Danio rerio: one gene and its partners. The protein of the gene in region 1 binds, or shares a complex with, the protein of each later gene. Links are inferred from orthologs where the notes say so. Each region holds a gene or a part of one and is shown on either strand. Other genes may lie near its edges. The genes, in order: caska, dlg1b, lin7b and lin7c.

Evidence for each region.
Region 2: the proteins of caska (region 1) and dlg1b are in contact, whole or in part, in an NMR structure (PDB 1RSO), measured with the Rattus norvegicus proteins. The link is inferred for Danio rerio from reciprocal best matches to the Homo sapiens genes CASK and DLG1. Residues at the interface, in XP_038955489.1 of Rattus norvegicus: Gly339, Ala342, Ala343, Arg345, Ala346, Val347, Gln349, Val350, Ser353, Leu354, Glu356, Ile357, Leu360, Thr361, Asp367, Leu368, Phe370, Leu371, Ser373, Val374, Phe375, Asp377, His379, Leu380, Thr382, Leu383, Leu384, Asp385, Leu386, Tyr387; in NP_036920.2 of Rattus norvegicus: Arg4, Asp7, Thr8, Arg10, Ala11, Leu12, Leu14, Leu15, Tyr18, Lys21, Leu22, Glu26, Asp27, Leu30, Ser33, Ile34, Arg36, Val37, Ser39, Ile40, Phe41, Ser43, Leu45, Phe46, Leu49, Ile50, Gln53, Glu57, Val58, Leu60.
Region 3: the proteins of caska (region 1) and lin7b are in contact, whole or in part, in an NMR structure (PDB 1Y74), measured with the Mus musculus proteins. The link is inferred for Danio rerio from reciprocal best matches to the Homo sapiens genes CASK and LIN7B. Residues at the interface, in NP_001271432.1 of Mus musculus: Ala405, Arg408, Ala409, Glu411, Val412, Glu415, Ile416, Tyr419, Glu421, Asn422, Asp424, Ala425, Glu427, Leu428, Ile431, Leu432, Gln434, Phe437, Ala439, Leu440, Leu441, Thr443, His444, Val447, Ala448; in NP_035828.1 of Mus musculus: Leu10, Asp13, Val14, Arg16, Ala17, Leu20, Leu21, Arg23, Leu24, Ser27, Glu29, Leu30, Pro31, Pro32, Lys34, Leu35, Ala37, Leu38, Val41, Leu42, Ser44, Phe46, Cys47, Ile50, Arg51, Tyr54.
Region 4: caska (region 1) and lin7c share a complex: the UniProt entries of both Homo sapiens proteins name them as parts of the brain-specific heterotrimeric complex. The link is inferred for Danio rerio from reciprocal best matches to the Homo sapiens genes CASK and LIN7C.

The regions. Positions count from the first base shown.
Region 1 is NC_133184.1:35,294,924-35,302,717, reverse strand, and holds the start of caska (peripheral plasma membrane protein CASK), read left to right. Parts: upstream 1-3,333; 5' UTR 3,334-3,879; coding exon 3,880-3,938; intron 3,939-7,794. UniProt on the Homo sapiens protein: Multidomain scaffolding Mg(2+)-independent protein kinase that catalyzes the phosphotransfer from ATP to proteins such as NRXN1, and plays a role in synaptic transmembrane protein anchoring and ion channel trafficking.
Region 2 is NC_133177.1:5,300,773-5,308,365, forward strand, and holds the start of dlg1b (discs large homolog 1-like protein), read right to left. Parts: upstream 5,112-7,593; coding exon 5,010-5,111; intron 1-5,009. UniProt on the Homo sapiens protein: Essential multidomain scaffolding protein required for normal development. Recruits channels, receptors and signaling molecules to discrete plasma membrane domains in polarized cells.
Region 3 is NC_133178.1:30,726,131-30,733,137, forward strand, and holds part of lin7b (protein lin-7 homolog B), read left to right. Parts: intron 1-189; coding exon 190-308; intron 309-3,987; coding exon 3,988-4,059; intron 4,060-4,155; coding exon 4,156-4,365; intron 4,366-5,858; coding exon 5,859-6,022; exon of another isoform or gene 6,023-6,270; intron 6,271-7,007. UniProt on the Homo sapiens protein: Plays a role in establishing and maintaining the asymmetric distribution of channels and receptors at the plasma membrane of polarized cells.
Region 4 is NC_133182.1:31,964,333-31,972,094, forward strand, and holds the start of lin7c (protein lin-7 homolog C), read right to left. Parts: upstream 4,653-7,762; 5' UTR 4,535-4,652; coding exon 4,498-4,534; intron 3,673-4,497; coding exon 3,554-3,672; intron 1-3,553. UniProt on the Homo sapiens protein: Plays a role in establishing and maintaining the asymmetric distribution of channels and receptors at the plasma membrane of polarized cells.

The DNA of each region.
Region 1 (7,794 bases):
AGTAATGCATTTGAGAGGATTGGAAATTTTTTTTTTGCAGCAGCTTCCTCAGGGTGGTATGGTATATCCATTTATTTTGCAGTATAAAAAATGTAAGTAATAATATAAAAAATAAAACATGCAGTTTACAGTTGAAGTCAGATTTATTAACCCCCTGAATTATTAGCCCCCTGTTTATTTTTTCCCCCAATTTCTGTTTAACGGAGAGAAGATGTCTAAACATTTCTGAACATAATAGTTTTTATGACTCATCTCTAATAACTAATTTATTTGATCTTTGCCATGATGACAATAAATAATATTTGACTAGATATTTTTCTTTCTCATATTTTTCTACTTCTATACAACTTAAAATGGCATTTAAAGGCTTAACTAGGTTAGTTAGGTTAACTAGGCAGGTTGGGGTAATTAGGCAAGTTATTGTATAACGATGGTTTGTTCTGCAAAAATACAGCTTAAACAGGCTAATAATTTTGACCTTAAATTGTTTTTCAAAAATTAAAAGCTTTTATTCTAGCTAAAATAAAACATCATTGCTCTGTTAAACATCATTTAGGAAATATTTAAAAAAAAGAAAAAGAATTCAAAAGGGGGCTAATAATTCGGATTTTAACTATATATAAACCATAGAGCAGTGGTCACCAAACTTGTTCCTGAAGGGCCTGTGTCCTGCAGATTTTACCTCCAACCCTAATCAAACACACCTGAACAAGCTAATCAAGCTCTTACTTGGTATACTTAAAACATCCAGGCAGGTGTGTTGAGGAAAGTTGGAACTAAACCCTGCAGGTACACCGGCCCTCCAGGACCAGGATTGGTGACTCCTGCCATAGAGGTTTAGCTGTTTACCATAATTGTTGAGTCCATTTTAAGAAAAAAGGCCAGTGTGTAGACTCTGGACATGAAATAGACAAAAAATATCTTAATTATTTTGATTTATTTTGTTTAATAGTCTAGCAAGTTATAATCAGGATGAATTTCATTCAAATTTACATAATGTGATCAGTTAAAATGCCAATTTGACACTAAGAAAATATAATTTGCTGTTGCTTCCATTAAGAAAAATGAATTAGTGGACTATCTAGAGTTAAAGACTAATAGCACAATCAAGTCATTTTGTTTAATCTTAGATGGATTTCTTGTAATATGAATAATGCATGAATAAAGTATTTTGTTAAAAGCAGCAGCATGCATCTTTCAGCAAGACTGCGTTTGTCAAGAGTGAACCAGTTTCAATTAATGAAAGAGCAAGAGTTTTCTGACTGCAGCTGATCTTAACAACAAAGAAAAGATAAGGCCAAGGAATCCAAATACAAGATTATATTGAGATTGTGTAGTTGCAGTACGATTTTTAATTTAGATCCATCGATTACTGCATGCTTGAATGTGTGGTAAGATGTAAAAACATGCAGGGGCTTTAAACATTTATTCGACATTCAACGATGACCCGCAATACTAAAACTCTTATTTACTGTGTTTAATATGGATCTATGGAGAGACATATATATCTATTAAATCACTTTATTTTTCATCTCTGTGGAAATATTTTAACATCTATGATTCATTTCTACAAAATACTATGCACTCCCCAGAATAAAGGTTAAAAAAAGCTGTCTATGGACGGTTCCTTTTCAAAAGGTACATGTTTCTACCGAAAGGATCTAAACAGTGTTTGTAAATTAGTGCATACATTTTGAAAAGTAACTCAGTTGCAGTTTTTGAACATTTATATGAGAGTTTAAACTAGGTTTAGTGTATAGTAAAATCATTTTGGTTACCATGTTGTTTAAAATGTCTATTTAATTTGCAGGTATGGTTCATTTTCATGTGGCAACATACACTCACTGGCCACTTTATTAGGTACACCTGTTTAACTGCTTGTTAATGCAAATTTCTAATCAGCCAATCACATGGCAGCAACTCAATGTATTTAGGCGTGTAGACATGGTCAAGACGATCTGCTGCAGTTTAAACCGAGCATCAGAATTGGGAAGAAAGGCGATTTATGTGACTTTGAACGTGACATATTTGTTGGTGCGAGACGGGCTGGTCTGAGGAGAATGACCGAATTCGATACAACCGAAGTATGCAGAAAACTACCTCTGAAAGCACAACACATATAACGTTGAGGCGGATGGGTTACAGCAGCAGAAAACCACACTGAGTACCACTCCTATCAACTAAGAACAGGAAACTGAGGCTACAATTCACACAGGCTCACTGAAATTGGACAATAGAAGATTGGAAAAGCGTTGCCTGGTCTGATGAGTCTCGATTTCTGCTGCAACGGTTCAGGCTGGTGGTTGTGGTGTAATGGTGTGGGGGATATTTTCTTGGCACACTTTGTGCCCATTAGTACCAATTGAGCATTGTGTCAACGCCACAGCCTACCCGATTATTGTTGCTGACCATGTCCATCCCTTCATGACCACAGTGTACCCATCTTCTGATGGCTATTACTAGCAGGATAGCACGGCATGTCATAAAGCGTAAATCACTCAAACTGGTTTTTTGAACATGACAATGAGTTCACTGTTCTCAAGTGATTTCCACAGTCACCAGAACTCAATCCAATAGAGCACCTTGGGGATGTGGTGGAACGGGAGATTCACATCATAGATGTGCAACTAACAAATCTGCAGCAACTACGTGATGATATCATGTCAATATTGAGCTAAATCTCTGAAGAATATTTCCAGTACCTTGTTGAGTCGATGCCACAATGGATTAAGGCAATTCTGAAGGCAAAAGCGGCTCCAACATGGTACTAGTAAGGTATACCTAATAAAGTGGCCTGTTAGTGTATATTTATTATAGCTACTCTTAAAGATATCTCGTATAGACTCATATTAAATACATCATATTATGGCGTATTATTGTGGAAATGAATGTTCACCTATGATGTTGTCTGCTTTATTATACAGTATGTGTATGTATTGCCAATAATTATGTGCAATAATGTTTTATTCCCCAAACCACTTTTCAAATATTTTTTTATTATTATTACATAAACACATGTCTACAAAAACATATAGTCAAGCTAGTAAGTCAACTAAAGATTTTCAAGCGCAGTTCAATACGCTTTTTATCTAGGTAAACTGTCGCTTCAGCCAACAAACTCTGAGACGCCTGGTCGTCATTTTGGCTCAACCGCACGTGCCAGTCTATGCGGGAATTCCGGAATACGAAAGTCCTGTCGGAGCCATTATGGCGTAAGGCAATCCAGTTTCATAAGCGCGAGTGGGAGGAGTTTGGGTTTTCTGGAAGCTGGGAGCAGCAGCGCTGGAGTTATGAGGGGGAACTAGAGCAACGGCGGCGAGCAGGGACAGTCAGCGTGAGCGCGCACAGGGAAAAGCCGAAGCCGCGCGTGGCTAGAATGAGTGGAATCAACTGAACTGCGCACTTTAACAACAGCTTGCGTTTGAACACACAAACAAACCGCGTGCACGTCTTCTCCCCCGGCTCGAGTTAGTTAGTTTAGCGTCTAAACGACTTAACCCACTTGGTTCCGTGACTTCGGCAGCGATTATCGTGGAGTTGTTTTTAACGTTTGAATTACCTCAGCCTCGAGTGGCGGGATTAAGGGGGCCGAGAGAGAGGGAGGAGAAGGTGGGGCAGGGTGAGTCAAACGGACCGAGCGCTCACTACTGTCCGCTCGCTTCCACCAAACCACCAAAGGATAATTTTTCCCACCCAAAACCGACAGGAATCAACCATTCGCCGTTCATCGGAATTTGGAGAGCGATACAATCGGCTGTCAGCGTTTCTTTCGCGGCGCTCATTCCAGGTACTCTGAAGTGTCTGCTCGGTAATCCTCTGATATTTACCATTTGGACGGATTTTGGAGGGGGAGTGTAAATTCCCCGCTCTTGTTGGACCATGGCCGACGACGACGTGCTCTTTGAAGATGTTTACGAGCTGTGTGAGGTCATTGGCAAGTAAGTCTCACTTTGATAATGACACACGGGTGAATGTCCATCTGTGACTCGAGCTGCGCCTTTTGCGTTGTGTGTGTGTGTTTGTCTGCCAGACGAGTGTTGTCATTGCGTGAAATTCAGACTGTTGTGCTGCAGTGCTGTGCTGTTGAACACATGATAGTTAGATTCAGTCGTAACTCTTTACAAACTGCATGTTGTCTGAGGCTGGAGCAATGAGGAATGGGAGTGGCGAGTGTGAGAGATGAGAGAAGTGTACTTTGAGCGTTCGTGCAGGTAACGTTAGATGCCATCCACTACTATTGTTTTTGCATAGCTTCCTCTACTGCTGTCAGCGTTGATGTTTCTGCAAATGATTGTGTTTTGGTGGATAAACCAATTTCGTGTCACCTGGCTTTCATGTGTTATCTAGAAATGTCAGGTTTGTGCTTGCAGTCTTGTTCGTTTGTAGTTGTTACTGGTATTGACCACTATACCTGTACTTTACGTGTGCTGAGAGTTCTAGCCATTATAATATTGAGGTAAAGTGGGTTTCATATTCACATATCTGTTTATTTTAATGGTCATTGTATTGTTTACCACGCTACTTTGAATATTTGCTCTGAAATCGCATTTAAGTATCACCACACAACAACATCAGCACTGTTTAATTGACTGAACAATGTTGTACTTCAGTCATTGGCTGCTAATATGATTTCACTATTCAGAATTTGCTAATATTTTTCTGAAATTATATTATTAAGGACAAAGTCTGAATATGTAAATATTTGGAATATAAAGCAAACTTTACCTTAGTATTATAAATAGTTGTTTGATGTGAGTATAACATAATAAATGCCTTAAATGCAATGCATTATTAGTATTATGTATGTGTATGTGTGTTTATAATATTCAATGTAATTGCTATTTAATAATTTGTGTATTTTATTTACTTTTTTAATGTTGTATTTATGTTGTAAAACGCATTACAAAAATATACAAAAATGACAACATAAACATTTAACAATAAGCAAATACACTGAAGAATATTTTTAACAAAATAAATAAATGAATAATAAAAAAAAAAACACTAGTTCAATCTTACATACAGAAAATACAGGTCTACAATTTGCTGACCACAACTAGTATCCAGTACCAAGCTGGGAGTTGGGGGTGGGGACTCAATCAGAAGGGGCAGGGTTAAGCTGAAAAGTTTGGACATGTTTGCGAAGGGGTTCTCACAGTTTACTGAAAATTGTGCTAGATTGATGAAGAGAGTACCTATTTTTTTCATTTATTTTCTTTTCGGCTTAGTACCTTCATTATTCTGGGGTCGCCACAGAGAAATGAACTTATCCAGCATGTGTTTCACACAGCGGATGCCCATGCCCTTTTAGCTGCAACCCAACACTGGGAAACACCTATACACACTTTCACACATACAGGGAGAACATGCAAACTCCACACAGGTATGCCAACTGATCGAGCCGGGGGTCAAACCAGCAATCTTCTTGCTGTGTGGCTGTTGTGCTACCTACTGCACCACCATAGCGCCATTTTCTCATTTTCTTTACTTTTTACATATTTTTATAGATGCAGACTTAAATATGAGAATTTGTTTTTCATTATTGCTGTGAAATGTGATATTTGACAGTTAAAACTTTGCTTTTATTTGGATTTTTTTCACATTCACACTGTAGCCTTGAAAGCCAGAGTGTAATATAATATAAAATAGTGTAATGTAATTAGGGCAGCATGATATTGAACAAATCTGTCATTTCGATATTTTGTTTTGCTGCGATATGAATACAGTTTCACGAGATGGCTTGAATAGCTCTATTTGTGTAAACAAAATAAAATAAATGAATTATTGATTGGTTGATTTTGGATGCCTGTGAATCATGTATTAAATTGCAAGAATAATTACAATAGAGTAAAGAAAAAATTTAAATAAACAGTTATTTATGGTTTTCCGGAGTGTCAAACAGTATTCAGATACAGACATTTAATAATATAATGTCAAATATTACTGTATAGTCTTTATTATATTTATAAATCAGTAAAATTTATCTTCAGTAAAGTTACAAATGTTAATGATAGTCACAATCCATTATGCTTATTAATTGAAATGACTCCTCAAATCTCATGCATTTTCAATGGTTGATCAACTATAATATGCAAATTAACATTGCAGATCCTGCGATGTGACTATTGGGGACACACATTGCGCTATTGATGCTGAAATGATATATTGTGCAGCTCTGAATGTAATATCTTAAAACTTTGTGTTTTTGTACATTTTATAATAAAATATAAATATTAGACTACATTGAAGCGTCACATTCTTGCAACAGTAGTAAAGTTGTAGACTGGCTTAAAGTAATAAGCGTTGAACCTTTTAGGGAATTAAGTTATAAAGATCTAAAACAATAAAGATTAAAGATGTTTCTGATTTAATGGTTTGTCGAGCCACACTACGAGTTTGGTGACTATTTGCTCTGATGAAGGGCACAGCCTTGCATGTATCAGCAGGTCTAGAGCTTTTCCTATTAAACTGAAACGAAGTACCATTTTTAGATTGTAGTCCTACTGAATGGAACATTCACATATTGTTTTTACTGTTATTGTTATGAGACAATCTGGTGTATTTGTATTATGTAAGCAGGTTATCTCCAGCTGTTATTGATGTGCAATTGCTTGCTTGAGTTTCAGTGTGGTGCATGTAAATTTGAAATGCCATGTAATTAGAGCTCTCAACATGGTACTCTGGGATTTCAGAGTTTGTAATTAAAAGCAGTTCTGTGCGTGTAACTGTCTCATAATAACAAAACAACATATAGTTAGGATGCATACGATGGCGGATTTTCTTAAACAGCTATGTTTAGGCATGTTTAAATGTATGGGTGAAAATTTAGCCAACAAAAATAAAGCAATGGAAAAACTGGAAAACCCTGTTGATGCCGTTTCCATTAGATCTTTGTCGTACAATGATTTATGTAGTAACCCTATGATTTGTACAACACAGGATGGATTTGTGAAATCCTGGAATAAAAACAGAATTAGCAGTTTAATGCAGAATGTTATGGAATTTAGGATATATTGAATGCATAAATCAGAAATGTTATTGCAATGTGGACTGTAGTGTCTGTAAATATTCATTCATTTTCTTTTCGGCTTAGTCCCTTTATTAACCTGGGGTCGCCACAGCGAACCACCAGTTTATCCAGCATATGTTTTACACAGCGGATGGCCTTCCAGCTGCAACAAATCACTGGGAAACACCCACTCTCATTCATACTCATACACTACAGACAATTTAGCTTACCCAATTCACCTGTACCGCATGTCTTTGGACTGTGGAGGAAACCGGAGCACCTGGAGGAAACCTATGCGAACATGGGGAGCGCATGCAAACTCTACATAGAAATGCCAACTGACCCAGCCGTGGCTCGAACCAGCGACCTTCCTGCTGTGAGGCGATCGTCGTACCCACTGCTCCACAGCGCCGCTCCATCTGTAAATATTAATCTAGTAAAAAACATTTTGAAATAATGAAGTCTGCATGTTTTGTGTGCAGTAATTGTGCAGTTATATCTCATACTCAAGCATGTGATGCCTGTGTTGTTGTTTTTTTTTAGCATCTGCCGTATCACTTTGAGTGAATGAAAACATCAGCCTCATCTTCAGACCTGCCGAGAGATTCACTCACAAGCATTTTCTGTTTTATGTGAGAAAACTACAGAAACTCCCAGTGTCTTCACAACAACCTGTGGAATCTACTTGAAGAATGTTTTTGTTGTACAGTAGTCCCTTGCTATAATGTGATTCTCCTTCCGCAGTTTTGCAGATTCGCAGATTTGCAGTTTGCAATTAAACATGC
Region 2 (7,593 bases), on another chromosome or scaffold:
TTTTTTTATTTAAGTTACAAATGGTACAATTTCTTGTGCCTGAAAGCTTTAAACTCTCTTCATACATTAAAACAGGTCTTAAAAACACATGTAAATGATAAACATTTGCTCCTGAACTGAACTGAACTCTGAAAACTGAACTGACACAGTTTCAATTTAATACAAATTCTATGTTAAGCTGCTTTGACACAATCTACAGTACGTTGTAAATGCGCTATAGAAACAATGGTGAACTGAACTGAATCAACTATAATAACACTGATGAGAACCGGGATAGGATGCAGTGGGTTTTGGGCTGCCGCTTCAATCGTGTACTGTACCAAAGTTTGCAACCCGGGGGTGTTTACAGACTATACAAAGGAGGGGGTGGGTAAAATTACGGTAGTTTTTTTAGGAAGAAATAAAAACGGGATGTTTGTCTGCGCCAATAGCCTGGTGGTTAGTGTGTCGACACATAGCACCGAGGTTCTCGCAGCGACCAGAGTTCGATTCCCGTCTCGAGGTCCTTTGCTGATCCTTCCCCTATCTCTGCTCCCAACGCTTTCCTGTCTCTATATCTCCACTGTCCTATCAATAAAGGTGAAAACCCCTAAAAGAAAAAATTCTAAAAAACGGGATGTTTGCGGGAGAATGGTCTGAAATACGGGATACTCCCATGAAAAACAAAAGTGTTGTCAGGCATGCTTACCACTTTAATAATGACTTGATATGCTATAGTTAGAAATCAGACTGTTATCAGCTTCTAAGCGTAAGGGCTTACTATGCGGTTCTGTCGCCATCTTGTAAATAGAAAGCGTCAACCGTCTTGGGTCTACACTTTGGCCATCGACGAGATCTCTAAGAAATTGTAAATATTTTAAAATAGGCACTATTCTTGCATATAAACTGCGTAGTTGAAATCTAAACAACTACATTCTCGACTAAAAAAAGCTTCAAAACTGTATTTTGTTGTGTAACAACAGTAATATTTGTCAAACTGTAGTGTCTGCTTGCTGCTGGCTGTTTGTGGGCGGAGTAATACACAAAGAGTAAAGAGGCTGTACGGGTGCAGATATTACTTAAATGTATCACGGCTATCAACCAATCAGATTCGAGAACCAGACAGAATTGTTGTATGATATAAAATGCATTAACTAATGAAACCATATTGTAAAAGGTGACCAAATATGCTGTGTTTTAGAGAACTCTCCCTTTTAAATAATACACAGTGAATTCCAATTGTTTCTCAATCCCAAGCAGAGCAGATGACATGTAATCCTATGGGCTGTACATCAAGGATTTGAGAAATTAACACCACGGTTTGAATAGGCATAATACGCCATACGGCACCATACAGGCAGTAATCATGCCAGAGTCTAAAGCGGCATCGTTAAACACTGCGTATAGTAATGATTTATTATAGTGACCACATAATCATTTTAATTATGCCACCATAAGCTTGATTAAGAAAAAAACGATATATAAAAACACACACACAGTATAAAAACATGAGACAGAATTAAATTAGTTTACCTTCTGCCATTCAAAAATAACAATTCAACCTACTGTTAAATTCGCACAATACCAAGCAATACACTTCTTCTGTAAGTGTTTACTGAGGAGGTTCTTGAGCTCCGTTAATGCCAGAGCCAACGCATTACTGTGACACATTCTCACAGCCCAAGCAGGCTTTACCCTGAGCTGATACAACAAAATGTGTGCATTCTCCATCAGAGAGAGTGATTACTGTGGAGCAGAGTGTTAACTACAGTCAGAGCGGAGATAATCCAATGACTGATTAAAAGAGAAAGAGCTCCAAAAGGAAAGAACAGCATTAAAACCAGCAGCCACTTCTACAGTTGTTAAGAAGTTTTCACAGAATATCTTTGGAAAGTTTTGACATGCTTTGATATAGTGAATCTGATCTAGAACTATTAAAAATAATAATTGTTTAACAATTAGGGTAAGACTTCGGAATGAAGTTGTACAACATGAACAAACAATGAACATTACAGTATTTATTTATCTGTGTTAATGTTAAAGTCAATGAATGCGACAAATGATTAACTATAGTAACTTAAAAAATGTAAAATTATAGTAACTTAAAAAATAAATTATAAAAAACTTTCAAAAATGCTGTACATGTATTGTTATCATGAGTTCATGTTTGTAAATACATGATGGTAAAGTGTGACCGTAATTAGCTTTTATGAGCTCATATTATTATGAGTTATGGTAGTGCATTGGGTACATTTGAGAGCTGTTGGTTCATGGTTGGTTCATGTTGGTTCTGACCTGGGTCATGCCCTGATCCTACTTACCTTTCTACACTTGATCAACCTAAACATCTAGACGCACGCACACGCACACGCACACGCACACACACACACACACACACACACACACAGACATAGACACAGACACACACAGAGACACACACAGACACACACAGACACACACAGACACACACAGACACACACAGACACACACAGACACACACAGACACACACAGACACACACAGTAAGTAAACGCCCAAAAGAAAGAACTTAATTAGCATATCGTCACCTTAGAATTATATAGTTCCATCTGACATTTTTGTCAAAATTGTGTTATTAACATATTCTTATTAAATGACAATGACTTATTTACATTATGGGATGTTTTTTTATAAGTTGTTTACATTTTAAGACTTTTTATTTACAAAAAAAATGTTACACACATACTGTTTGCTATGGAATGCAAAAACTTTGATGCTCAATATCTCAAAATCATTCAGAATGCAGATAGAACCTTATCTATCTGACGATATGTTCCCCAATAGCCCTTAAATTGTCTAGAGAAAGACAAGCTGTTGGTTCATGGGAACCAATTCTGGCCTGGGCCATGCCCTGATCCTACTTACCTTTCTACACTTGACCACCCTATCCATTTAGTCAAACACAAACAAGAAAAAGCCTAAAAGAAAGAACTTGATTAACACACCTTCCCCTATACCCCTTAAATTGTCTAAAGAAAGACAAGCTATTAGTTTATGGGAACCAAGTCTGGCCTGGGTCATGCCCTGATCCTACTTATACTTCTACACTTGATCATCCTATACCAGGGCTATTCAATTGGCAGCCCGTGGGCCGAACCTGGCCACCGAGGCAATTTATTCTGGCCCTCCAAATAGTGCAAATAAGACATGAAAAATAAATGTAGTTAATTCGAAAAATGACGCTATAGTTATGAAGTGACGTGCGCCAAGCAAGTGGGGCAAGCAGGATGCAATGATTAGCCGATTTCACTATTAACTGCACTTGAATTCGTCACAGTTAATTAATCGTAAAGGCTTGTCAACGCCGCATTTCTGTTGCATGGAACGAAACGAAACTGCTGCAACTAAACCAAGTTATGTCAAGTTGTCAACTGTGCACTAGTTTAAAGTTCCATGTATGTACACCGAGGCTAATACGCACTCACCGGATTAACTATAGCAGTGGCCAGTCCCATAACAAGTCTTTTCAGCTTGCAAGTTTGTTATTTTTAATGTAATAATATATGACAATATGTGCGCACAAGCGCAGCAACACACTTGCGTCTTTCTGGGTGCACACAGTAGAAAACATCTTACGGTGAGAGTTGTGCGTGCCTTTCAGTGCAATGTTAACAACATATATGTTAGACGAGTTATTATTAAAATGATTGTGCTGTATGTATGAACGCAGAAGGCAACAACGAGCCTGATCTCATGAGAAAACGTAAGTATTTTACGTTTTCCCAGTTTAGTGGCTAATTCGTACGAATTCGTACGAGTTCAGTCGTATGAAATGGTACGATCTTAAAAAGGAGGCGTGGCACCTAACCCCACCCCTAACCCCAACCGTCATTGGGGGATAAGCAAATCGTACTAAATTGTACGAATTAGAAAGGATGAATTCATACGAATTAGCCACTAAATGAAAAAGTTACGAATTGCCGTGAGATAGTGTTGCAACAACAGTTATTCTAAATAGCTACTTACCTCATATAAAGCTTGAATTTACATTAGACGTGATAACCGTGAACCCATGATTATTCTTTAGACTATATAATCGTACAACCATAATTGTGATGCAGTTTAAAAAAATAAAACATGAATGTGTCTTAAAGTAGAAAAAGCCTACTTGAGCAATGCACTGCTTTTGCTGTGCTCTGATATACAACATTTGAACATGTTTGTAAACAAGAAAAGTCTATTGTACAGTGCACTGATATTATGTAGTTTCAAAATACAACATATTCATATTTTAATGTAGAAAAAGCCAACGTGGGTGTCTTAAGGAGAAAATAAACAGCATATGGGCTCTTATATGCAGTTGTGTTATCACTCATAAAGCAAGTCATATCTCTCCGGCCCTTCATTTGGGATGCTTTTCATGAACCGGCCCCCGTGACAAACTAATTGAATAGCCCTGTCCTATACATTTAGTCAAACACAAACGAGAAAAAAACCTAAATGAAAGAACCTAATTAGCACACCGTTCCCTACACCCCTTAAATTGTCTAAAGAAAGACGAGCTATTAGTTCATGGGAGCCAAATCTGGCCTACTTATATTTCAACACTTGATCATCCTATACATTTAGACAAACACAAACAATTAAAAGCCTAAAAGAAAGAACCTAGCTGTCCTAACCTAACATAAATTGTTTAAGAAGAGACTAAAAGGCAATAAATCTGCTGTACGCCAACTCTCTTACATCTAGAAGACAACTCCTCTCATCTCATCAACTTTTCAATTATGTGTGCCTTAAAAGAAATTCAGTCCATGAACGTGTTATGCCAGATCTCTCTGCAAGAATAAGTCTACTTCTGAAGTCTGCTAGATCTCGAAGAGAACTCTTATCTCATCAAGTTGATTGCATGTGCCTCGGGAGTTCCAACTGGCAGCAGTACCAAGCATTTTGGCTGCCACTCTTGGCTACACCTTGATGTAAAGCTGGACAGACTCTCACAGACTGTCCTGTCCTGTGAATTAAGCGAACCTGAGAAGCAGCTCCACCACCCACCTTGCATCCGAACATGAGTGAGATGGTGCTGTTGGTGCAGGCCACTTTGCAGTGGCACAGCATGGGCGAGAAGCAGTCCAACTTCTTGATGCTGGGAGACATTTTCTCGCCGCTGTGGCAGCTGAGCCGATCAGCCAGCGAAGAGCCGGAGACTCGCCGGCGCGAGCGATACTTGCTCCTGCCTCTCCGGCCACCTCCTGCTCCTCCACCACCACCTCCTCCTCCTCCTGCCCCTCCACTGCTGCTGCTGCTGCCCGCTCTCACCATCCACCCTCATTCCTCGTCTCACTCCATCACGCCAGGGAAGGGACAGCCAGTCTGCTTCCTTCATCCAGCGAGTTTGTCCACACGCCCCCTTCTCCTTCACCGCTGCTCCGGTCTTCCTCAGAGCCTTTCGTCTTCTGCTTCACTGGCTTGCGAGATCCGTCCCTCCACCTTTCACAGCTGTGAGTCACGGTGGAGATGTTTGCACGGAGGCCTCATGCCGAGTGCATGCATCCGTGAAGGAACAGCTTTCGGGACCTTTTGGTCATCGCCAAGAAGACACCACACAACTGCTGCGTTCCCCCAAAAGGGAAGGTGAAGAATGCCACAGTTTGAACAACGCAGCGAGTTGTGAGGAGAACGCGGGAAGAGGAGGAGAGCTGTGAGGGGAGGGAGGGAGGGATAAAGCTGTTGCAGCGCGTGGGGTTTGTCACATGGACGTCGAGTTGGGTTGAGTCTCTCTCTCTGTCTCATCCTCGGCGTGGGTGCTCTACGTCACCCAATACATTGAGGGGAAGGCAAAAAAATAAAAAGCCAAGGCAGTAACAGTGAGATGGAGAGGAGCAGCAAATGAACATCCTCAGGGAGCACAGCCTCGCATGCAGGAGGAGGAGCGATGTTGGAGTGACTTACAGCACGTTTGCACAGTGGAGAGAAAAGGGGGAGGGGAGCGTCGAGCCTGGCCAATAAGATGACGGAATGTCATTGGCAGCTGACTGGACAGTGGATGTGACCTTCTGAGAATGGCTCCATTTCTTGATGGGATCCCTACGGTGGAGAGAGTGAGCTGGCAGAAAGATGCTTAAGCTTAATTTCTCCATTACTTCTGATTTGATTAGGCCGACCATGAAATGGTCACATAGGACAAACCGCTCGGGTCACTGGCTTTTAAGGGGCAGTGATGTTGGGGGAGGGTCGGCAATGACAAAGATCTCTGCCGTGACTTTGCTTTAGGAAATTTTTAAATCAGCAGTCAAGCTAAGAGGGATGTGGCAAAATGCTGCCATACTCGCTAATCTAATCCTCACCGCTAATAAGATCCTGTTCTCGCACAGCGTGCACATGCATCTGCTATATTCTGCCAGTGAGGCAATCCTCAAGGCCATTTAATATTAAACATTTTGGACATTTTAGTTACTTCTCTCATGCTGACCTACATAACGTGCAAAAGTCAAAGACTCTGAGCCAGTAGTACTACTAACGTCAATTACCCCTATTTTACGTACAATACTTGGGTTGTCAGTGTGCCTCACTGTCCAAAGTGTGACTCAGATCCTGCCGTTCTCGTAATGTATGCGTCACTCAGCGTGCAACACGACTAACACTGGCTAAGTCCATTCAAGGATCATCCGAATGCTCGTATGAAGCATCACGAAAACGCTCATGACACGACTGCACGGACATATAAATATAGTTGGTCTTACTTTAGAATACTATTTTTGTGGCAACAATTTCTCAATGAACGTCACAGAGTCATGAATCTGAGAAGGGAATAGAGTCAGTTTCACAAACAAGGTTTAAGGCTAGTCGAGATTAAATTGCATGTTTGAGCTGTCTCAACTCAAAATAACTTTCAGAGAGATGTCTTAAAATCTGTCAGTGTCATTTTTTTGTCTCCAGGCGCACTCCAGTAATATATTTTTCTAAGGCCATTTTAATAAATGTGGCTTAAATAGCCATGGTCCTGGCTTACTCTAAGCCCTGCTTGTGAAACTGGGCCTTAAAGTCTTAAAGGTGTATAGTTCTTCACCCATCAAATTGGCATACTCCAAATAGAGCTGGGCGATATGGCCAAAATGCAATCTCTGTAATTATTTTCCATATTAAACGATAACGATATATTTTGATATTAGTTGTTTAATGATTTCAGATTCAAAAGAGTACCCCAAAAATGACTGAAGCCAAAAAAATTAAAGTTCCATTAAATGGTATAACATGCACTGTAAAAAATAAACGTTATTTTACTGGTAATTGTCTGTATTTTTTACGGAATTTTTCAGTTTTTTCATTATACAGTGAAATACCTGGTGTTTTAAAGATATGTTCTATAAAAATTCTAACATTAAATGTACAGTTATTGCTTGTAATTTGGTATTACAATATTTTTCTGCTTTTTAAAGGAAATTTTATGTATTTTTTAGAGAGTAACACATAACTTTACGTTAACACTTACAGATTATTTCTGGAAAAAAAAATAGGAAAACAAAAATATAGTCAAACTGTTCTTAGTGAAGATAGTAAACGTATGAAGATTAACAAGAGGTTAACAAAGTAAAATAATAGCCTGTTGTTTGTAGGCTGCATATAATGCATGCACTGT
Region 3 (7,007 bases), on another chromosome or scaffold:
TAATGGTTTAATTTACAGTTATTTATTTTATTGGGAATGAAAGTAACCATTTATTTTTTTCACATTATTTGGAAAATTAAAGTTGGATAAGCTTTCTATGTGTATAATATACTTTTATTTGTTTCGTTTGCTGCAGACACAAACATGTCTTTGATCTATATATTTCTATAATATTGACTTCTCCTGCAGATGTCTGCAGAGTGATTGAATTGTTGGACAGACTGCAAAGAAGCGGTCAGCTTCCTCCTCCCAAACTCCAGGCTCTCCAGAGAGTCCTTCAGAGCAAATTCTGTGCTGCCATCAGAGAGGTAAAATCTTTCTTCTGTCCTTCAAACGTAAGGATGCTTGACTCTAGTAATAACTCATCCTTGTGCTTCTAATTAGAGCGTCGCTCAATTGTGAAAAATGTAATAATTCCTTCCTTTTTCTTGTATTGATTTCACAGAACACTAATTGGATATATGTAACTAGGTATACAGTTGAGGTTTGAAATGCGTATCACATAAGACTGCACTGTCCTTTTCCTCCTCCACATGAGTATTTATTTCTTCTCTCAGGCAGAACTGCATTCCACTGTTCCTCCTCCTGAATGACTCACTTTCCTGCCTCTTTGAGATGGCATCTCACTTCAGCTTTATTGTCTCACTCCTTGACTTGTGATAATGGGTTCCAGTAGCAAGAGCCCAGTCTGTTCACTTCTCATTCACAAGAGTCAAACACATTCTTTTACAATTACGTAGTCTTGTCACACTAAATCAGTTTTCACATATCCATCAGGTGTCCTTCTCTCCACGTGGCTGACATTATTGGCGTGTTGGCGTCTGCATGGGAAAAGTAATGATAACATTTTAAAACATGACCAATATTATCTGTTTTAATCACAGAAGTTAAATGAACTGAGATCCTTGTGGAGAGTATATTGAAATTGATATCAGATCAGCTAAAAAGAAATTGTCAGTGAAATATTTACAATCCTCTTGAGTCTATATTGAATGATCAGTTTTTGTTGAACTTTAGTAATTGATTTTGTTATTTTCCATATTGTAAAATTAAGCACATCTCAGTCTCTGTCAATCAGAACTGATATCTATTTAACTGTGCATCTAGAAAGTATTCACAGCGCTTCACTTTTCCCACATTTTTTATGTTATAGCCTTATTCCAAAATGGATTAAATTTGTTTTTTCCTCAACATTCTACACACAATACCCTTTAATGGCAATGCGAAAAAAGCTTCTTCTTTTTTTAATTGTTGAAAATGTGAAAAAAAAAAACTGAAAATCACATGTACATCAGTATTCACAGCCTCTGCTCAATATTTTGTTGATGCACCTTTGGCAGCAATTACAGCTTTAAGTCTTTTTGAATATGATGCCACAAGCTTGGCACACCTGTCTTTGGGAACTTTTACCCATTCCTCTTTGCAGTAACTCTCAAGCTCTATCAGAATTTATGGTAAGCGACGTTGTGCAGCCATTTTCAGATCTCTCTAGAGATGTTCAATAGGATTTAGGTCTGGGCTCTGGCTGGGCCACTCAAGGACATTCACAGAGTTGTTAAGAAGACACTCTATTGATATTTTGGCGTTGTGCTTTGGGTCATTGTCTTGCTGGAAGATGAACTGTCGCCCCAGCCTGAGGTCAAGAGCACTCTGTAGCAGGTTTTCATTCAGGATGTCTCTGTACATTGCTGCATTCATCTTTCCCTCTATCCTGACTAGTCTTCCAGTTCCTCCTGCTGAAAAACGTCCCCACAGCATGATTCTGCCACCACCATGCTTCACCGTAGGGATGGTTTTAGCCTGGTGATGAGCAATGCCTGGTTTTCTCCTAACATAACGCCTGGCATTCACTCCAAAGAGTTAAATGTTTGTCTTATCACACCAGAGAATTATGTTTCTTAGAAAATCTGAGAGTCCTTCAGATGCCTTTTGGCAAATTCCAGACGGGATGTGGCTTCAATGTGGCCACTCTACTATACAGGTCTGATTGGTGGATTGCTGCACAGATGGTTGTCCTTCTGTAAGTTTTACCTCTCTCCACAAAAGAACGCTGGAGCTCAGACAGAGTGACCTTCTGGTTATTGTTCACCTCCCTATGGCCCTTCTCCTCCGATAACTCGGCTTAGATGGCCAGCCAGCTCTAGGAAGAATCCTGGTGGTTTTAAACCTCTTCCGCTAACAGATGATGGAGGCCCCTGTGCACATTGGAATTTTCAGAGCACCAGAAATTTTTCTATAACTTTCCCCAGCCTTGCGCCTCGAGACAATCCTGTCTCGGAGGTCTACAGACAATTCCTTTGTCTTCATGCTTGGTTTGTGCTTTGACATGCACTGTCAACCTTGGGACCTTATGTAGACTTATATGTGTATGCCTTTTCAAATCATGTCCAATCAACTGAATATACCACAGGTGAACTCCAATAAAACTGTTGAAACATCTCAAGAATGATCAGTGGAAACAGAATGTACCTGAGCTCAATTTAGAGCTTCACTGCAAAGGCTGTATATACTAATGTACATGTGATTTTTCAAGTTTTATATTTTTAATAAATTTGCAACAACTTCAAAATGTTTTTTCACATCGTAATTTTGGGGTATTTGGTGTAGGATTTTGAGGAAATAAATTACTTTAATCTATTTTGGAATGAGGCTGTAACATGACAAGCTAAAGCGCTATGAATTCTTTCCGGATGCACTGCATGTTCACTTGTTTATGGTGATAAAAGCCACTGATCACATTGTCAAATTCACTAAATAAACCATCAGATAGTGATCAAGATCCCACTGTATAGCATGAAGGTCTTGTGTTATGTTAAGGTATTATTTTGCAATATTTGCTGATTTGTAAATTATTCCATCAAATAAAGTCAATAGCAAATGTCATAGCTGACAGTTCACCCCTAAATGAAAATTCTGTCATCCCTTAACTAATCCTCTGCTTGTTTCAAATCTGAGTTTCTCACTTCTGAACACAAAAGAAGAAATTAAAAACTGTTTATTGTAGGTATTTCATAGTTGGGAAAACATACTATAGAAGTATTATAAGTCAGTGTTTCGCATCCACGTTCCTAGAGGACCACCAGTTCTGCACATTTCCATGTCTTCTCAACCAAACACACCTGATTCAGATCATCAGCTCACTAGTAGAGACTGAAAGACCTGTAATGGGTGTGGCAGACAAAGGAGACATCCAAAACATGTAGTGTTGGTGGTGCTCCAGGAATGTGGTTGAGAAATAGATAACTTTAAATGTTTGGATCAAGCACAGGATGAGTAAATGAAAGAATTTCTATTTGAGTGAATTATCCCTTTAAATGTGTAAACTATTAAAGGGTTACGTCACCAAAAAATGAAAATTTTGTTATTAATTATTCGCACTCATGTCATTTCAAACTTTTTACACCTTTGTTCATCATCTGCACACAAGTTAAGATATTTTTTAAGAAATCTGAGAGCTCTCTCATCCTCCATAGAACGCAACGTTCCAGAAAAATAACAAAAAACTTTCTCAAAACAGACTATTTGCCTTCAGTGGTTCAATCATAATATTATCTGCTATAAATATACTTTTGTGCGCACATAAAAAAAAAATAACGACTTAATTTACCCGTTTCTTCTCAGTGTCAGTATATTGCGCATTCACAACATGTACCTTTTCACATAAAATATCTTTATTTTTATTGTGAAGAAGAATAAAGGCCTCAGGGCTTTGCAATGACATGAGGGTGAGTAATTAATAAGATAATTTTCATTTTTATGTCAACACTTTAATGTGTGCATTGTCCATTACGTGTGCACATTTAAATATGAACTGAGCCAGAATTGTAGGATATTTCTTTTATCTGAATAAACATAAATGAATTAACAGTGAGCAAAGACGTATTTAGTGTAAAAATGTTTGTTATATATGTATAGGAAATGCTTTAATCTCACTATAAACTCCATTTATGTTGTTCAATATCCAGGCCCATTCTTTTTTTTTTATAGGTCTACGAGCAACTTTACGATACGTTGGATATTATAGGTGGGCCTGAGGTTCGAGCTCAAGCCACTGCCAAGGTAACTTTTTACTTAAAACACAAACAAACAAAAAAAAAAACTGTTAAACTAGAAAGTTCATAGATGTCATAACTAATTTCTGGTCTCTTCTTTCAGGCAACAGTAGCAGCGTTCGCCGCCAGTGAAGGTCATGCACACCCGAGAGTTGTTGAACTCCCTAAAACAGATGAAGGGCTTGGGTTCAACATCATGGGGGGAAAAGAACAAAACTCTCCCATCTACATCTCTAGGGTCATTCCAGGGGGTGTTGCTGACCGACAGGGTGGCCTGAAGAGAGGAGATCAACTGCTTTCTGTTAATGGAGTGGTATGTTGGCATAGTACCATTTTGAGATGTATAATTTAGCCGTTAGATTTTTGTAAGAGACCATGGCCTTGATTTTTCAACTGTCATGAAGCTCCCTTGTTTTACCTCTGATTTGGAAAAGAGGTTTTCTAACTGTAATCAGGTGGGAGAGAAGTGTTGAAAGAGGAAAAACGATCATCTTGTGCTGCTTTATTTTATTTTATTTTTTTACTTTTTGTTTATTTATATGTTATAATCAGGGAGTCAGTCGGGTCTTAAAAAGGCTACAATTTCAGAAACAAAATTTTAGACCCTAAAAAATCGTAAATTCACTGAAATATTGTGTTGTAGGTCTTAAATAATTTTAAACAAATATTCATTTTCCTATGTCCAAGTAAATAAAGTTTTTTTATTGCAAAGAGACACAATTCACAACAGCTGTTAGACATTTTACAGCAAATCCTCCAAATTACATACCTTAATCAGGGACAGAAAACTAAACAACACATTCCTTTACATCAGTGTTTCTAAACCACGTTCCTGGAGGACCACCAGCTCTGCACATTTTTCATGTCTCCTTAACCAAACATATCTGATTCAGATTATCAGCTCATTATCAGAGACTGAAAGACCTGTAATGGGTTTGACAAAGGAGACATCCAAAATCTGCAGTGTTCATGGTTCTTTAGGAACATGGTTGAGAAACATTGCTTTACATGAACTTCCATTGATACAAAAACTATTTACAGTAGTGACCAGATCTTGAAGTCTTAAATTTAAATTGAAGAAACCTGTAGAAACCCTGATAATTTACAAGTTATTGTTTATCAGTAACTAATGATATAACTGTTAAAAATATAATCACGTAAACACACATACGCACATCGCTTTCAGCCCAGTATAAAACATTGTTTTTTAAAATTCAGTTTGTTCTGTAAATACAGATCAAAAGCTGTTTGTGTGTATATATATATATCTTTAGATTCGGTTTTTAAAAAGTGTAAACAGTGTAAATGCTAAGTGTACTAGGATTTAATGTTGTTTTTAAATTATTGATTGCATTTTATTTTACTTTAGCATGCTGCTAATCTCTAATCTGATTCAATGATTTATTCAAAGCTTAAAGTGCTTCCACCAAACCCGGAGATTTGCTGAATGAATAAAAAAAAATAGTAAAACTCAACTGTTAAACACTTGGTAACTTGTTAAATAAAAGTGGAGATTTCCTTTAACTAATACTTTTAGCTAAATTAACTACTAGTTTGTGCTTATTAATAATTAGGTTAATATTAAAATGAGTATTGGGTAGGTTTGGGCTTGTAGAAGTACAAACAAACAGTCAATATCTTAGTAACAGGCCAGTAGTAGGTTAAAAGTTATTAGTAGGAATTGGTACTTAAAACAAGTGCAAAACAAAAGTTGTTTTTTATTCTTGTTGAGCTACACCAAACAAAGAGAGAATGAAAGTGAGTTTGTAGACTTGCAAATGGTCTTTGTTTGTCGATTGTGTGTAGAGTGTTGAAGGTGAACACCACGAGAAAGCTGTAGAGCTGTTGAAGGCTGCGCAGGGCTCAGTGAAGCTGGTGGTGCGTTACACCCCCAAAGTCCTAGAAGAGATGGAGGCCAGGTTTGAGAAGATGAGAAGTGCCAGAAGACGCCAGCAACACACCAGCTACTCGTGAGTGGGACTTTCCCCTGACTCGTTTTTCTGATCAGTTGCTGAAGACATTTGTTCTTTTTTTGTTGAGGCAAAATGTGCATTTTTTTATAGGCCCAATTCCAATTCTACCACTTAGCCCTTCCTCTTATCCCTCCGTTCGCATGAAGAGATAGGGGTGTCCCAGTTCTATTTAGCTTGAAGGTGAAGGGCTAAGTGGAAGGGCTAGACGGTCCTTGAAACTGAGATTTTTTAGGACCACACTCGAAGCCACACTGAAAACCCTAATGTTGTCTTTACTTAAACAATTAAGTAAAGTTGACTAAACATAACTTAAAATTTTGCATTTTGGTGGTATCACTTAAAAATATAAGTTAATTTAACTTATGTAGTTATGTCCTTTCGAGAGAAAAAAATAGTGTGAAACTTCCCGGATGTGTTCTTGATATCGAGGATACTGATGCAGACTTGAGCACCGAACTCGCTCTGGAAGTCCCAGAAGTCATTGCGACTGGAGATGGGAAGCGCAGCATTTTATTTAGATTTATTATTAAAGTTCAGAGATATCACTTATTTACCTTAGGGGTTTCCCTAAATGAAACGGTGAAAGTAAACATTAACATGAACATATTAATAAAGGAATAAACACATTAAGGGTGTTTGTTTGCTGAAATTCGTATTAAAATTAGTTTTATTTATATTGTGCAGGGTATATTTATAATGTTTTTATGCAAAGTATATATTTTGAAGAGGGGAAAAACAATAAATCGTTGTATGAGTTCTGTAATGCTTAAATAATTTCCATTTAAAACGTGCGAAGGTCACGTGACCATCAGGAAGAACGCAGCATTTCATTTCTCAAAGGACGCGTTCTCTGCCATCGCGGTCTCCTGAGTTCGTTCTTCCGAGGACACCTGGCAAGACCGGTCTCCACAAGAATGCAAGTCCGTTCTCTGTGTTCTTGGAATTGAGAAACAGCCTGTTTGTATTGTGAAGTCCTAGTTGG
Region 4 (7,762 bases), on another chromosome or scaffold:
ATTAGTCATCTGTACAGCAAATAAAATCTGCATACTCCACCTCTTAATTCAATTTCTGTTTTGATCAATTATGACTTTAGTCGGATTAAGGCAATTAAAAATTGCTGTTTACATGGTAGACTCTTAGTATTGTCTTATACTCTTATATTCTTAAGATTATATGCTTAATTATATTGTCTTATGTCTTATATTTAACCAAAATAAAATCGGAGTATTGGTGTCAATGTAAACGTACTCACTAATGTAGAGCTGAAGTATAGCTATTTGTTTTTATTTATTTTGATCTTACATCTTTTACATCATTTTACAATCACAAAGCCAATTCCTAAAACGGCAGAAGTTAATATTATTATTTTTATATTTACATCAGAATTTTTCAAAATGAACATAACGTTGTTATGCCTTAAACCACATTTTAAAACAAAAACATTTAATTTTTGCCTGTTTTCATACAAATTAAACTCTATTATATAATATTTATCAGTCACAAGCCATAGCATGGTCATACTGCGGGTGATATTGCCACAGCCATATCACCCTGCAGCCCAAGACCGGTTACTCGCTGAGCCAAGCCAGTAGCTGGATGGGAGACCACATGGGAAAACTAGGTTTCTGTTAGAATTGGTGTAAGAGAGGCCAGCAGGGAGCGTTCAACTTGCAGTCTGTGTGAGTCCTAATGCCCCAGTAAAATTAAAGGGGACATTACACTGTCAGTGGGTGCCGTCTTTCGAATGAGACCTTAAACTGAGGTCCTGACTCTCTGTGGTCATTAGTCCCTCAATCGGCCCTTATGATCATGGCCTCCCAATCATCCCCATCCACCGAATAGGTTGTATCACTGTCTCTCCATTCCACCTATAGCTGGTGTGTGGTGAGTGCACTAGCGCCGTTGTTCTGTGGCTGCCATCACATCATCCATCATGCCGTCCAAACCCAACCCCCCACCCCCCCCCCCACCCCCCATTTATTATTTTATTTAGAAGCGATACAGCTTATTTTCTACCTTTAATATGAAAAACATTTAAAATAACTCATTTTAACTCCAAAAGTGTAAGTTTTTTATTTTCACTTTTTTACTTTTTATCCAAAAAAACATGACTGTTTTAGGCAATGTGTGTTTTAATTTCAGTAATTCAACTTTGATGTTAATAAATGATCATATATAGTAGATAGAGTGTGTTTCCTTCAATTATTTTAAAATTAAGTAATGCACCCTTCATTCAAAAAATCTCTCACTTGTTATATGGGAGTATATTTACTGTCCAAACCTTGTCCATGAACTATAAGGGCAAAAAAATAAAATAAAGTAATCGTTCATTAATAGTAATCGAGTTAAAATGTTCAATTAATCGAGATTTTAGGCCAAATCGCCCAGCCCTATGTTGAAAGATGAATATAAAGTTTATAAATGGACATGCATTTAAGATGAGTGCTGAGACCACATTTCAGCTTTTAACAAAAGCTTTATCGAACCTAATCTTTCCATCAGAAATCTGCTTTATTACAGGCACTCAAGCAAAGCAAAGAACAGCAACTCTGCAGCGAGCATCACTTGTGCAAAGAGTTCAGAGTCTTCAGTGAGCACGACAGATGACCAAGCAGCAGGGAGGAGACCAGTCAAGTGCCAACAGTCTTAGATTCACTACATGGGCAGCAGAACACTAGTTTTATGCCCAGTCTGAAACAGACAAATGGATTGATGCTATTTGTGGACATCAGAATCAATATCTAGTATCCAGTCCTTCTGCACAACAATAACTACGCATGTACTACACTAATGAGCACTTTGTCATAAGCATTAGCGATGAGAGCAATTTCAGTCATAACGACCGCTTGCATAAATGAGCTGAGTACTTGGGCAAAAAAAAAGAGAGAGGAGCTTGTGAGGATGAAACAACATCCGCCTGCTCAATTTTTTGTATTATTAACCTGTCAGTCTTTGGCACATTCATCACACCTTACTTTTTTTTCCCCCTCAGCATCACACAGCGGATCTCATTCACCAATAACGCCTTAGCAGAATACAAATAAGAGAAGTTCTTACCAAAACTTTATTTGGGCATCAATTTGTTATCCTTTTTATGATGTTAATGAATTGGTTGTACTTTAAAAACAGCAGCTGCATGCCCAGAGTTAGTCATTTGCATAAAACGCAGACAAATATCCATAGGGCTTTATGCACAACTTTTCTTTTATAAGCATAAGCCACTCTAAGCTAATAGATGGTGCTTTCTAAAGACTCACCTGTAATAACCTATTTAGATGCTATAAATATATTTTATGCTGATGTCTGGTTAGTTACACTGGAATATCAGACCCATTTTCAAATTAAATTCAGGAACGATGTAAAATAGACTGCCGATAACCCTAAATCTAAATTTTAAAACAAAATTTTTTATTACATTATAACATGCTCATTACATAAATAAATATGTAAGAATAGTTAGAGGCATTCATTATAAACATTATTTATAGGGATACTCCGATTGATCAGCCAGAGATCGGTATCGGCCATTAAACGCATTTAATAACTCAATCGGTACTCTCTGATCTGGCCGATCTCATGAACCGATTGCAAGTGTTTGTTGGAGATGTGTAAAAAGATTTGAATGACCTTGCATGCATTTAGGCCTTTTTACAAACAAAAACTAAAAGTTCTGTGTTTTTGACAATATTGAAAGTTCACTAAAACCTGTCTGGAAATATTACATAAATATATATTTTAACATGAATATTTAATAATATAACTTCTTGTAATATACTTACTGCAATAAACAGTAATGTATATGCCTATTTCCTTTTAGTAAAGAAGTAATGGATTTATAGTGGGGATTTTATCTTCTTATGCATCAAATATGCACTTCTAACTTTTTCTTTACTTATACATGTTGAATTCCTACTCCATCATTTGCATACAAATTGCATTGTTTGTCATTTTTCTTACCAATTTGTTTATGTTTTATCAATGATTTTGTATATACTGTATCTGCTTCTGACCATTACATGTTCACACCTATAAGAGGCTATAAGAGACATGTTTAAGGGATTATATGCAGCAGACATAATTTATTCTCTGGGGTAAGGAGAGATCTCTACTTAAGTATCGTACTTAAAAGCGAAAATGTGCTTAATGTAATATGAAGTTTGAAGCATTAGAATCTGTATTCTGTAACAGATTTGTTAAGGTTAATTCGTAGCATTAAAAAGGTAACCAATGCAAAACAATCCCCAGTTTTCAAACCTAGAAATTTTATAGACCATTTCAATGTGGTAATGTCATTGGCCAATGAACATTTTCTGCTTGTTATCAAACTATTTTATACCTGTAACGAGACAATTTATTCATAACTTGATGTTATAACAGCTATCGTAACACTATTTATCAATATGTGGAACATCTTGGACTCTTAGAATCTTTGGAAATTTAAATAAATTTTAATAAATTAAAAAACGGAAATATGTCAGGACCGTTGTTATTGTTTACATCCCTCAAAATTGTAAGAAGACGTTTAAATTTAACTTGAAAGCATGAATGTGATGTTGGAACACTTACCTCCCTTACGGCCTTGCAGAACTCGCTCTGCAAAACCCTCTGAAGGGCTTGCAGCTTCTGGGGTGGCACTTCCCCTGTTCTCTGGAGCTTGTCCAGCAGCTCAATGGCACGAGATATGTCTGTAGAATAACATATGTAAGACCAAGACCATGGATAATCATTTGCATCATGCCATCTGGAGATGTTGTCTGTGGCTAAACAGCTTTCCCTGATAAATAAAACAACAACACGGACCGCAGATAACATTTTAGCAAATCCTTTCTTTATGACAAATATTATTGTTGTTGTTGTTGTTATTAATATTGCGCCATATATTGTATGTAACGTTACTAGTATATAATTTAACGCTACCCAAAAGAAATAATGTTTGTAAATAAAAACTAAATAACTTAAGAATGAAATTATTTACTATTATAATGCTACTTACCGGTTTCTTCTTGATTTATACAGATACATGTAAATATTAAGATAAAAACAGACGGTCATAAATCAGAGTTTTAGCTGATCTACTAGCCTAAGTTAACTCTACTGTGTATTAAAGCTTCAGTTAAACTCAAAATAAGTTGCTGACTATTAGGACGTCACTGAAAGACTTTACTAACCCCTAGAAATACTCAGATGCACTGATCTCTGACCTGAAGTGCCCATGCTAACAGAGCTCACAAAAGATTAACGCTTTTGACAGCTACCCTCGTGTTTTCCTTTCGTTGAACGTAAACTCACCGCTTTAACGACATATAAATGTCCGTATTGCACATTTTATACGTTTTGTGAACGTAGTTTAGTTTATAGAAAAACGTGTATGATCTCGAACGGTGAATTGATGCTAGCTCTCTGTCGAGCACTAATCCATCCTCACGAAGTGACAGCGGGAGAACAAAAAGCGTGATTTACACAACATCCTGCTTCACGTACGGCAGAAAGTGTCTCGGTGCGCGGCTTACCTCTTTCCAGACGTACAGGTTCTCCTAAAGAGGCCATTATAGCCCTGGTTGTTGAGTTTGCGTTTGGTGAAAGCTCCAGAGTTGCGACTCGGCGGCTGTGTTTGTTGCTGTTAGCTTGCTGAGCTTAAGCGTTGTGGCTAATGCACCGAGATTACGGATGAGCGTCAAGAGCGTCATTCCTGCGTTGCTTCCGCGCAGACACTTTGCATACCATAACAAACTGACTTTATTATGATTTTCTCAATGAAATTGGAATATATTATATATAATTTTAACATTAAACAATATATTTAAAGCAAATATGGACTGTTCGACTTGGTATTTTGTTTAGGACATCGAGTTTGACTGCATAAATTATTACAATTCAGATAGTAGACACGTGTAATAGGGCTGTTTTACTGTCAGTAATATGTTACTGGACTAGTTAAGAAAATAATGTTATGGCAGCTATACAGTGATATATGGTCAACAACATAACCCACGCTCAATTGGATAATGTATTAGCCAATCAGAATCCAAGGGCAGAAATATTTCCATACATTTTAAACCATATGAATGAATAGTTTATTCCAGGTAAGGAATGCATTTATATATGATGATTTATTTATTTATTTATTTATTAAATTTTTTTTTTACAATTCAGACTACAACTGTTTATTTTAGAAATCTTTAGGCACACTTTAGGGTATTATTTTTGGGTTATTTTGACATCAGATGATACATTTAAAAAACTTTAACAATGTTATCACATTACTATCAAGAAATATATGACTGTGTTTTCATTGTTGGTTCTGTTATATTAGTTACATGAAATATGTTTACTTATATATTATTTAAATAAAAATTATTTGTTGCTAATGCTAAAAAATGTTAAGATTAATTAATGCTTTAAAAATGTTTATTTTGTTGAAGTAATTAATGATAACAAATTACATATTTTTGTAAAACTATTTTTCTTAGAAAAAACATTTATAGAGGATACAAATACATATATATGACTTTGAAATATTAAATATTGATGACCAAACGGCACGTTTTTTTTTTTTATCAAGCAAAAATAATTGTTGTACTTTTGTATTTTTTTCTTTTTTTTTATATTTCCCAAATTATGTTTAACAGAGCAAAGAAAGTTTTACAGCATGTCTGATAATATATCTTTTTCTGGAGAAAGTCTTATTTGTCTTATTTTGGCTAGAATAAAAGAAACTTTTATTTAAAAAAATAATAAAATTTAAGGTCAAAATTATTAGCCCCTTTAAGCTATATATTTTTTGATATACAGAACAAACCATCATTATACAATAACTTGCCTAATTGCCTAGTTAAATTAACCTTGTTAAGCCTTTAAATATCACTTTAAGCTGTATTGAAGTGTATTGAAAAATATCTAGTAAAATATTATTTACTGTCATCATGGCAAAGATAAAATTAATCAGTTATTAGAAATGAGTTATTAAAACTATTATGTTTAGAAGTGTGTTGAAAAAATCTTCTTTCCATTAAACAAAAAATGGGGAAAGATTTTTATTTTATTTTTATTTATATATATTTTTCAAATTATGTTTAACAGGGAAAGGAAATTTTCACAGCATGTCTGATAATATTTTTTTCTTTTGGAGAAAGTCTTATTTGTTTTATTTAGGCTAGAATAAAAGCAGTTTAAAAAATTTTAAACACTATTTTATTTTCACCAAAATAAATCAGTTATTAGAAATTAGTTATTAAAACTATTATGTTTAGAAATGTGCTGAAGAAATCGGCTCTCCATTAAACATTGAGGAAAAAAAAAAAAAAAAATATATATATATATATATATATATATATATATATATATATATATATATATATATATATATATATATATAATTTGTATTTACTTTTTCCATATTCTCATTTTTTATTTGGACTGCCCTGCTTAAACAGTAATTTTATGAGTTTACTTGCTGTTATTGTGGAAAAAGAAACAGAGAATAGAGTGGCCTACTTCTGTAGCAAATGGGACAGGGCCCTGCTGGGTCTTACCAAGGACTACTTTGAACTGGGGAAAATCTGATCCTCACAAAAATAATGCAAGTTGTTTCTCAGATAAAATGCACCAGAAGAATGTTTTATTGTCCATTTCTTTATCTAGTCCAGTCACCATTGATTTATATTTTGCAGCTTCATATTTGTTCCTATAAGGTTAAGCAAACACTTACTCATTAAGCAAGGCTGATAGCTATTATTATGCTTTCATATCAATATCCTTGGGTACACAAATTTAATTTGAGTTGTGTTTCTGATAAAGGATGCACTTATAATCAGTTTTGACTTTCCGCCTGAGCATCCTTTATGGTCCTGCCCATGTGTCTCATGATGCAGAGATACTTACCATGAACAGATGAAACTCCTCCCTTATCTGTGGCAGTGTATCAGTGTCAGACAGATTTCTGTTCAGTTGTCTGATAACAACCTTTGAAGGAAAGCAGGTTTGTGTATAGGTCTGTGTCTGTGTTCAGGTGTATCAGATATCACGCAGAGTGCATTGGAGTGTTGACTTCATTGATCTATCCTACAGACAAAAGAAAATCCTAATCTCTTAGTGCTAGTGATGATTGCCTTCTCCCTCTGGACAACATTACATGAGAGACTGGTTTCCATAGAATTTACATATCAAGTCTTACCTGAGAACTTTCTAGAGTGTTTGTTGTTCCACAGAACACATCAGAATTTACATTGGATGGATGTGTTCGTCTGCATTTCTGGCTTTGAGATTTCACATTAGCTTGGTAATACGGATATAGACATACAGTTGAAGTCAGAACTATTAGCCCCCCTTTAATTTATTATTATTCTTTTTATATTTACCAAATGATGTTTAACAGGGCATGGAAATTTTCACAGTATGCCTGATAATATTTTCTCTTCAGGAGAAAGTCTTATTTATTTTGATTTGACTAGAATAAAAGCAGTTTTTAATAAAAAAAAATAATAATAATTTAAGGACAAAATTATTATCCCCTTTAAGCTATATAGTTGATAGTCTACAGAACAAACCATTGTTATAAAATAACTTGCCTAATTACCCTAACCTGCCTAGTTAACCTGGTTAAGCCTTTAAATGTCACTTTAAGCTGTAAAGAAATGTCTAGACAAATATCAAGTCAAATATTATTTACTGTCATCATGGCAAAGATAAAATAAATCAGGTATTAGTTATTAAAACTAATATGTTCAGAAATGTGTTAAAAAAATCTTCTCTCTATTAAACAGAAATTGGGGAACA